Linked DNA regions of Sus scrofa. The protein of the gene in region 1 interacts with the protein of each later gene in a pairwise test. Links are inferred from orthologs where the notes say so. Each region holds a gene or a part of one and is shown on either strand. Other genes may lie near its edges. The genes, in order: ANKS1A and DOK3.

Region 1 (3,801 bases):
GAGAGAGACAAAGCCTGCATGAGGCCAGGAGGGAGGATGGGAAGTGCTGAAAAGAGGTGGGAGCCCGAAGGCAGTGCCCCGAGCAGCAGGGGCTGTGGCTGCAGAGAAGACAGGCAGGAGATATGGGGGCTGTGGGGCAGCAGGAGGGAGCTGAGGAGGGGGAGAAGGTCCAGCTGGGGACCAGGCTGGGAAGGGGCCAGAGGGGGAGAGGCTGGTGGCCTGCGGGGCTGGGCGAAGCGGCTGTGGTCAAAGAGGAGAGGGTGTGGGGCTGCACTTCTGAGGTGGGGACCCAGGGGAGGCCTCAGCAGCAACAGCTGCAGGGGGTCATGGAGCCGCTGCCGGGACACAGGCCGTGGGGGGCGGGGAGGAGGCCGGGTCCCCCGCCCTGACGCCAGCGCAGCAGTGTGGGGCCCAGGGCCAGCGGGGGTGTCCGGGAGCCCCTTCCCGCTGAGACGAAGCCGGGGACCTTTGCCCACCTGGATCCGGAAGCGTTCCGCCCGAGCGGGCACTGCAGGCTCGTGGAGGCTGTCATGCCGCCTCCTGCCTGTGTCCCCAGGGGGCAGCAGCAGGTCAGCCGACCTCACGGTGCAGGAGTCGTTCTGGCTCAGGGGCGAGGATGTCTGCGAGAGCAGGTCTTGGCACTGCGGGGAGAGAGCCGGGGAGAGGCAGTCAGTGCGGGGGCCGCACAGGGGAGCCTGGGGGAGATGCGGCGGCCTCTGCAGCCCGAAGCCCTGACACCGGGTCCTGAAGGGTGAGCACACCCCGTGGGGCCTGGGCCTCAGCCAAGAGGGCCGACTGGAGACCTGGGAAGCGCTCTCCAGCTACCAAAGTGACTCAGAGTATGAAGCAGGTTCTTTGGCTTCCACGTCTGTGTCTCAGAACCAGCGGGGCCAGTAACGTCTGCTCTGAGGCTGCTCTAAGGGCCTGGAGGCCAGGCACATCCCTGCCCACTGGCAGCACCATGGGCTCCCCGTCTAACCCCTTTCAGTCAGAGGTGACCTGGCTTGAGCAACAAAGCATCTGTGAGGTTTTGAAAATCACAAGGATTTCTCTTCAGAAGACTTGGGGTGGGGTCGAGGGGGGGGTGTCCTGTGTTCCAGGCTTTGTCTCTGGCCCAAGGGGGTCTCCTCCCAGCTCCGCCTGCCCCCTGTCCCGGGCACAGCTGAATGTGACACTCAGACGTGGCCCTAGCCGTCTGGGATTCAGGTATTTGTTTTCCTGCTTTTCCCAACATTTGACTTGCTAATATTTACACTTTGTTACAGGCCATCTCGAGCTTCTCCAGGCTGATGGGAAGCATGTGATCAATAACCACCTCTGCCCACCGCCCCTGCGCCCCGGTTCCTCTCTCAACCTGGGCCGAAGGACAGACTTGGCCCCAACACAGTGAGGCGGGATGGCTGTCTGAAGAAGCCCTGGGAGAAGCTCCTAGGCTCCTAATACCACAAAGCACACACACCCCTTTCCACCTGCCCGACTCACCCTCAGCTGGGAGAACCGTGGGGGCTTCTGGGGCGGCTCCTCATAGGGCCTGTCTGCCAGGGAGGCGATGATCCGCTTGCGATGGCCAAGCAGGTGGACCTTGAGGACCTGGGCAAGGGGAGGGGAGGGGTTAGGGCCACTGGGCCCCCAGCCCCGTGGGCTGGGCCGGGGTGAGCGGTACTCACGTTGACAAGCTCGAGCTCCCAGAGGTTCTTCACAGTGTCGATGGAGCTGTAGCCACTGGCCAGGAAGGAGTGGACATAGTCCTGCAGCCCCAGGGAGTCCAGCCAGGAGGGCACTGAGGGGGGGCTGCTCCCATCATAGCCCAGAGCCTTCACCTGTGGGGTGAGGAGAAGAGGCAGGACTGACGACTCTCCCTGAGGGGATAAGCACCCTGGGGACCAGGGAGACGCACCCTGCAGGGGCCAGAGCAGAGGCTGAGGCGGGGGTAGGTGTGGGGCCTGAACACCCTGAGCCCTTCCCCTCACACAGTCCTCTCTCCCTCCCTCTCTTGGCTCTGGTCTCGCCTCCACCTCCACCCCACGCTGGGAAGGCGCCCCAGCAGGTAGGCCAGGCGGGGGGAGGGTGTGAAGGAGGCCTCACTGAGCTCTGACAAGAGGAAGGCACGGGGCACTCGGGGCAGCAGAGCTGAGCAGAGGCACAGGGCCACCAACCACAGCTCCCCCAGGAACCACGGCCTCCTCTGCTGCCCCGGGGGCCCCTGGCCTCCTAGGGAGGGCCTGGCTGGGGCTCGGTGCAGGTGACAGGCCAAGCCTGTGGGCACCAGGCTCTGTGCTGGGCAGAGGCCTGAAGCTGGTTCCTGAGGCAGATGAGGTCCTTACTGTCCCCAGTACTCTGTTGGCTCTCTGTGACCTCAGGACTTGGCAGAGAAGTGAATAGGACCCTGTGCTCCCCACTGGGGCCCCCAGGGTGAGGGGGAGACACCCCACGGTGATCTGCACGCCCAGAGCCATGCCCCTTCTCTGCTCTGGGCCCAGGGGGCCTTGGGGAGGTGGCCCTAGCAAAGGCTGTGGGTGCAGAACTATGGGTGGTTACCTTGGGCAGGGACCGTGCAGCCTGCAGCAGCTTCCGCCGGTGCTGGGGGTCAGTGATGCCAATTTCCCGCAGGTCTTGCTCTTCCATCACGTTAGACCCCTGGGAGCAGAAAGGAGAATGTGAGGGCCTCCTGCCTGAGGACCCGGGCAAGCAGGACATTCATCCGCCCAGGCCGCCACCCCTCCTCCAGAGGTTCCCCGGTGGGCTGGGTGTGTCTTCCTGGGGAGCAGGTTCCATGACCACCCACAGTGGAGGACAGGAGGCCGAGTCCCCAGACTCCTCGCAGACGTGGTTGTGTGATTAAGGCTGTAAGAGCCTCCTTAGGCGGGCACCCAGGAACCTGCCTCGCTCCAAGGTGGAGTCTCAGAGTAGGAACCTGCCCAGGAGTGGAGGGCGAGCCAGGGCTGAGCCCGCGTGGGCAGCAAGCATGGCGGTGATGGTGAGGATGGCTGGTGTCTGCCGCCTACTCGCTGCGTGACAGTCTCGAGACCTTTCCTGGGCACTGTCCCACTTGCTGCCCACATCCATGTGTGTTGGGTTCATCGGAATTACACATCAGGAGACTGAGGCACAGGGGGTCAGACACTGACACAGATCTGACTCCGAAGCCCTAGCGCGATGTCTTTCATTACTCACAGTGGTCTCATGAGATGGGTTTTCTGGATTGTGATGCACAAAGTCAGGGGTTCTGCCCTGTCCCTCAGCCACAGTGCCCCCCACCAAGGGCACCTGTTACCACTTCCCTGGATGTCCTGGCCAGAACCTGGCTGGGCACCTACACACATGTGCACACTTCATTTTCACACAAACATGATTCTAGTACACACTTCAACACCTTCATTTTACTTAGTCTGTATAGCAGAAGGTTGCGCATCAGTGTGTGACCTCTCTCCTTTTAAAGCTGCATAACCATCTGAGTTATGGACGTGCTGTAAATGATTAAGCCAGGTCCCTGTTCAAGGATGACTGTTTCCAGTGTCTGCTTTTACAAAGAATGCTGCACGAATCCCCCTGTATATGTATTCTTCTAGGGCAGCTATCAAGACAGACTGCTGCCAAACCAATTCTCCAGAAAGAACAGAGCTGGCAATATCACACTCCCTGACTTCAGATGATTCTACAAAAGCTACAGTAGTCGGAACAGTATGGGGAGCTCCCTAGTGGCTCAGGGGGTTAAGGATCAGTACTGTCACTGCAGCGGCTTCGGTTGCTAATGTGGGGCGGGTTTGGTCCCTGGCCCGGGAACTGCCACATGCCACCAGT
Region 2 (4,601 bases), on another chromosome or scaffold:
AGGCTTTCAGTAGGGAACCCTCTGCTCCATTTGCTGAGGGGGAAGCAGATGCCACAGGATTCAGGCCACAAGCACCCACTGACCCAGCTCTGTGCCCAGCTATGAGTGGGGCTCAGGACCCAGATGAGCCAAGCAGATGCCCTCTGAGAAGTTCACAGGTAAGGGGACAGACAGATCAGCCTTGAATGAACATGGACTGTGGTCATGAGACTGCTGGCATATGAGCCAGGATTTCAACATCTGGCAAGGGGTAGGCAGAGAAAAGCGCTGGCAGCAGCTCCTCTGTGCCTGGTACTTCATGTATGAGGCCACAGGGTTATCCCAGCAGGACAGCAGTTGCTCAAGCCTTGGGCAAGTTACTTAATGTTTCTGAGCCTTGATTTCCTCATCCTTGAACTGGCAGTGAGAATGCAAAGGACATGGTATCTGAGGCTGCTGGAGCTCGCGACTGCCTGGGCCACAGTGGGCACAAAGCCAGTGAACAGTGCCCTAGGAAAAGATTTCCTGCCTGAGAAACTACAAACCCCACATGTGCTACCCCCCCACCCCCCTGCAAAAGAAAACCAGTATTCTTCAACCTATTAGATGTTCCTTGGCAAAGGTGGCACTGAATGAATGCCATGAGGCTGTCCCCAGAATCCAGGTCCTCCCACAAGCCCCGGCCCCAGGCTCCCCCAGCAAGAAGCAAAACTTAAAAAGCGTGTGAGCTCTCTAGGGGGCCTGCTAGGGGTGTGCCACACACGCTCACGTGGCTGGGGCCCAGTCATGGGGACTGAGGCCTTTGTGCTCTCAGACAGCGTGGCAGTCAGGGGAGGGCTCCTGGAGGAAGAGACCCCAGTGTGCCAAGCAGCCCAGGGGTGAGAGGTGCCCTGGAGGGGCCAGGCTAGGGGAGGTGGAGACCAGAACACACAGCACCTTGAGTGCTGGGCCAAGGAATCCAAGCTAGACCCAAGGGCACTAGGAGCCAGAAAATGTTTAGGGAGGGGAAACACGAGTAGGTTTGGGGTTGGTGGAGAGGTCCGGGTGGGCCCAGGTGGGGCCATGGTTCAAAGGAGAAATGCCAAGGCTGGCAATGGGCAGGGGCTGTGAAAATGGGGAGGAGCAAGAGAGTATTAGAACCCTTTCCGGGATAAAGACAAGCAAACTAACCAGGACTCCAAGTGGGAAAGCACAGAGTTTGCCTGTCTGGCTAGAGAAAGGTCCTGGAGGGCACAGGGTGGTGGGAATGCCAGGCCCCTGTGTACGGAAGAGCTCCTGCATGGGGGAGGGGTCAGAGCTCATGACTCGAGAGCCAGCTTGTGGTCAGATGTTCACACCCAGCTGACCTGGGCTGGCACGGGTCATCTGCCCTCGGGGGGGGGGGTCTGAGGCCCCTGCCAGGCACTAGTGGGCACCTTGGGTCAGCTTGAACCCCAAGGAAGGAGTATGTGATGCCCTCTCCCCCCATCCTAGCTCCTTTACTGCAGGCAGGGCTCCCCTCCCCCCAGCCCTGCAGCTGCCTCTCTGGACAGAGGGAGGGGGAAGTGGCCAGAAGGGGAAGTATAAGGAGTTCCCCTCCGGCCTGTCACCAGTCTCCTCAGGCCCTCAGAGTGGCGGCCCTGAGTCCCGGCCACGGCCATGGAGCCTCTAGAGACCCCCATCAAGGATGGCATCCTCTACCAGCAGCAAGTCAAATTTGGCAAGGTGGGGACCCTGGCTGCCAGGCAGCTGCCTAGGACAGGTGGTGGGCTTCCGCCCCTGCCCACAGGGACCTGGGAGGGTGGGGGAGGGAGTCAGGCTCCGGGAGCCAAACCGGGTGTGGGGGAGTGGGACAGAGCCCGTTCCTGTCCTCAGCCCAGCGTGGGGCTGAGGGAGTGCTTTTGAGACCCTGCCTCATTACAGACGGGAGCGAGAGTGGGGAGGGTCTAAGAATACAACCTTTGGGGCAGGGCAGAACCCAGGGGCTGGCTAATCCAACAGCCTTCCATCCCAACTACTAGTGACACCGAGGCCCCCTCAGGAGGTCTGCGGGCTGAGCTGGAGGAGCTCCCCACCTCCAGGATAGAACCCCATCCTTCAGAAGAGGGCTCAGCTCCTCCCAGCCCTGTCCTGGGGTAGCAGGCACTGCACACCCTCAGCTCAGCTGCAGCTGCTGCCCAGGCAGATAAACCGTCTGTTTCCTTTGCTCGGTATTATTTGCATGTTTCCTTCCTTGCCATCATGAGACTGAGGCCTCCTGCCTGCCCCAGCCTTGTCCTGTGGTCCAACTGACCTTTTCTTTGTGGGGGCTGGGCATCAACATAACTGTCAGGTGCCATGCTCCAGCCACTAGATAACTTTATAGACATTACCCAGTACAAGTCCTAACCCTGTGTTCTCATGGCCTTTGGAGAGACGAGGACTCTAGTGCCTATGGGGATCACAGGAAAGCATGGGGTGGATTTGAACCCAGGATTGAATGACCCCAAACACAGACTCTTCCCCTTGCCAGGCTGGCTCCAGAAAGACACCTGCTGCCTGAGGAGGTGGGGGAGGCAGAGGCCAGTGTGGGTGGCCAGTTGGCTGAGCGGCTTGTGCTGGGCTGAGCTGCAGGGAGCCCCTTCCCCATCTTTGTCTCCCGCAGAAGTCTTGGCGGAAGATGTGGGGTCTGCTGTATGCGGGAGGCCCATCAGGCGTGGCACGGCTGGAGAGCTGGGAGTTTCGGGATGGTGGCCTGGGGCCAACAGGTGACAGGTCTGGGGGGCCCAGCCGGCGGGGGGAGAGGCGGGTCATCCGCCTGGCCGACTGTGTGTCCGTGCTGCCGGCTGATGGTGAGAGCTGTCCCCGGGACACCAGCGCCTTCCTGCTCACCACCACGGAGCGAAGCCACCTGCTGGCTGCACAGCACCGCCAGGAGTGGATGGACCCCATCTGCCAGCTGGCCTTCCCGGTGAGCACAAGGCAGGCGGGCAGGGACTCTGGGGGCTGGCCAGGGAGACCACCTCACCCGACCTGGTTCATCTCCGTGCTCACTCATATCCTGTCACTCAGCAAGCACCTGCCAAGCCCCTACAAGCCTGGGAAACAGCGCAAGCCCACATTACAAGTCTTAGATGACCACACGTGCTTTGGAGAAAATGAGAGGCTGGATGGAACCAGAAGTGACGGGGGACGTTAGACAGGATGGTCCAGGAAGGCTTCTCAAGGGAGGAGAGGGCACCTCAAGGACAAATAACCCCCCAGGCAAAGATCTGAAGACAGAGTGTCCTAGACCCAGGTCTGAGGGGTCTCCTAAACAGACGGAGCGGCATGGGCAAGGGCTCTTTGACAGGGAAAAGCCTGGTGTTCAAGAGGCAGAAGGGCAAGTGTGGCTGGAGGATAAAGGGGGCTGATGCCAGGAAGAGGCAACAGTGGAGAGTTTGGTGGGAGCCCAGCTGAAACTGCCTTGGGCCAGATGTAGAGTTTCTGGTTTTATTCCAAGGGAGTAGAGAAACCTTTGGGGAGTTGGACCCAGAGACTGAGCTTAACAGGGTCTGTGATGGACCAAAAGGAAATGAATGGCGGTTCCTCAAAAATTAAACAGAGTTACCATATGACCCAGCAATTCCACTCCTGGGCATTTATCCAGGAGAACTGAAACAGGTGTTCAAACAAAACTTGTACAGGAATCTTCAGAGCAGCATTATTCACACTAGCCCAAAGATGCAAACAACCCAAATGTCCATCAACTGATGAATGGATAAACCAAATGCGGTTTATCCATGCAACAGAACATCACTTGCCCATGAAAAGGAATGAAGCAGTGACACATGCCATGACATGGATGGACATCGAAAACATGCTAAATCAGAGAATCCAGACGCTAAAGTCTTCACATTGTATGATTCTATTTACATGAAATAGCCAGAACAGACAAATCCATAGCAATGGAATGCAGGTTAGTGGTTGCGGGGTGTTGGGGAGAGGGGAGAATGGAGAATGACAGCTAATAAGTACGGGGTTTCCATTTGTAGTGAAAAGGTTCTAAATTATACTCTTTCTTTTTAGGGCCCATGCCTGCGGCATGTGGAAGTTGCCCAGCCAGGGATTGAACCCATGCCACAGCAGTGACCATGCCAGGTCCTTTAGCTGCTGAGCCACCAGGGAACTCCCTGTACACTTTAAAGTGGTTAAAATGATAATTTTTGTGTTGTGTATTTTACCACAACTCTTTTTTTTTTTTTAAAGGACAAAGTTCCTTGGTAGTCTAGTGGTTAGAATTTAGTGCTTTCATTGCTTTAGCCCGACTTCAACCTTTGGTCTGGAAACTGAGATGCCACATTAAGTCGCTGCATGCTGTGGCCAGAAAAAAAAAAAGAAAGAAAAAAGGAAATAAGCAAGACAAGGAGACTGGTAGGGGGACTGCCTTTGCCTTTGACCCTGACCATAGCCCCATGATCAAGGTGGTCATGATGGAAATGCTCAAGGTCAGAGCCCAAAGGATGCCAGAGGAGATGGGGAAAGAGGCCTGGGGAGGAACATGTAGCCATTCACTCATGGGTCCCAATCTTAAACTCCCACGCCTTTACTGCTCCAAGCTGTCAGGGACACACCCATGCTGGCCCAGTCCCCGGCCAACCTCAAGGGAGATGAAGGGCATCCTG

What was found.
Region 2: the proteins of ANKS1A (region 1) and DOK3 interact in a two-hybrid assay, tested with the Homo sapiens proteins (2 studies listed by BioGRID and IntAct). The link is inferred for Sus scrofa from reciprocal best matches to the Homo sapiens genes ANKS1A and DOK3.

The regions. Positions count from the first base shown.
Region 1 is NC_010449.5:30,983,729-30,987,529, reverse strand, and holds part of ANKS1A (ankyrin repeat and SAM domain-containing protein 1A), read right to left. Parts: intron 2,638-3,801; coding exon 2,539-2,637; intron 1,821-2,538; coding exon 1,668-1,820; intron 1,591-1,667; coding exon 1,483-1,590; intron 642-1,482; coding exon 477-641; intron 1-476. UniProt on the Homo sapiens protein: Regulator of different signaling pathways. Regulates EPHA8 receptor tyrosine kinase signaling to control cell migration and neurite retraction.
Region 2 is NC_010444.4:80,439,255-80,443,855, forward strand, and holds the start of DOK3 (docking protein 3), read left to right. Parts: upstream 1-1,519; 5' UTR 1,520-1,617; coding exon 1,618-1,683; intron 1,684-2,602; coding exon 2,603-2,908; intron 2,909-4,601. UniProt on the Homo sapiens protein: DOK proteins are enzymatically inert adaptor or scaffolding proteins. They provide a docking platform for the assembly of multimolecular signaling complexes. DOK3 is a negative regulator of JNK signaling in B-cells through interaction with INPP5D/SHIP1.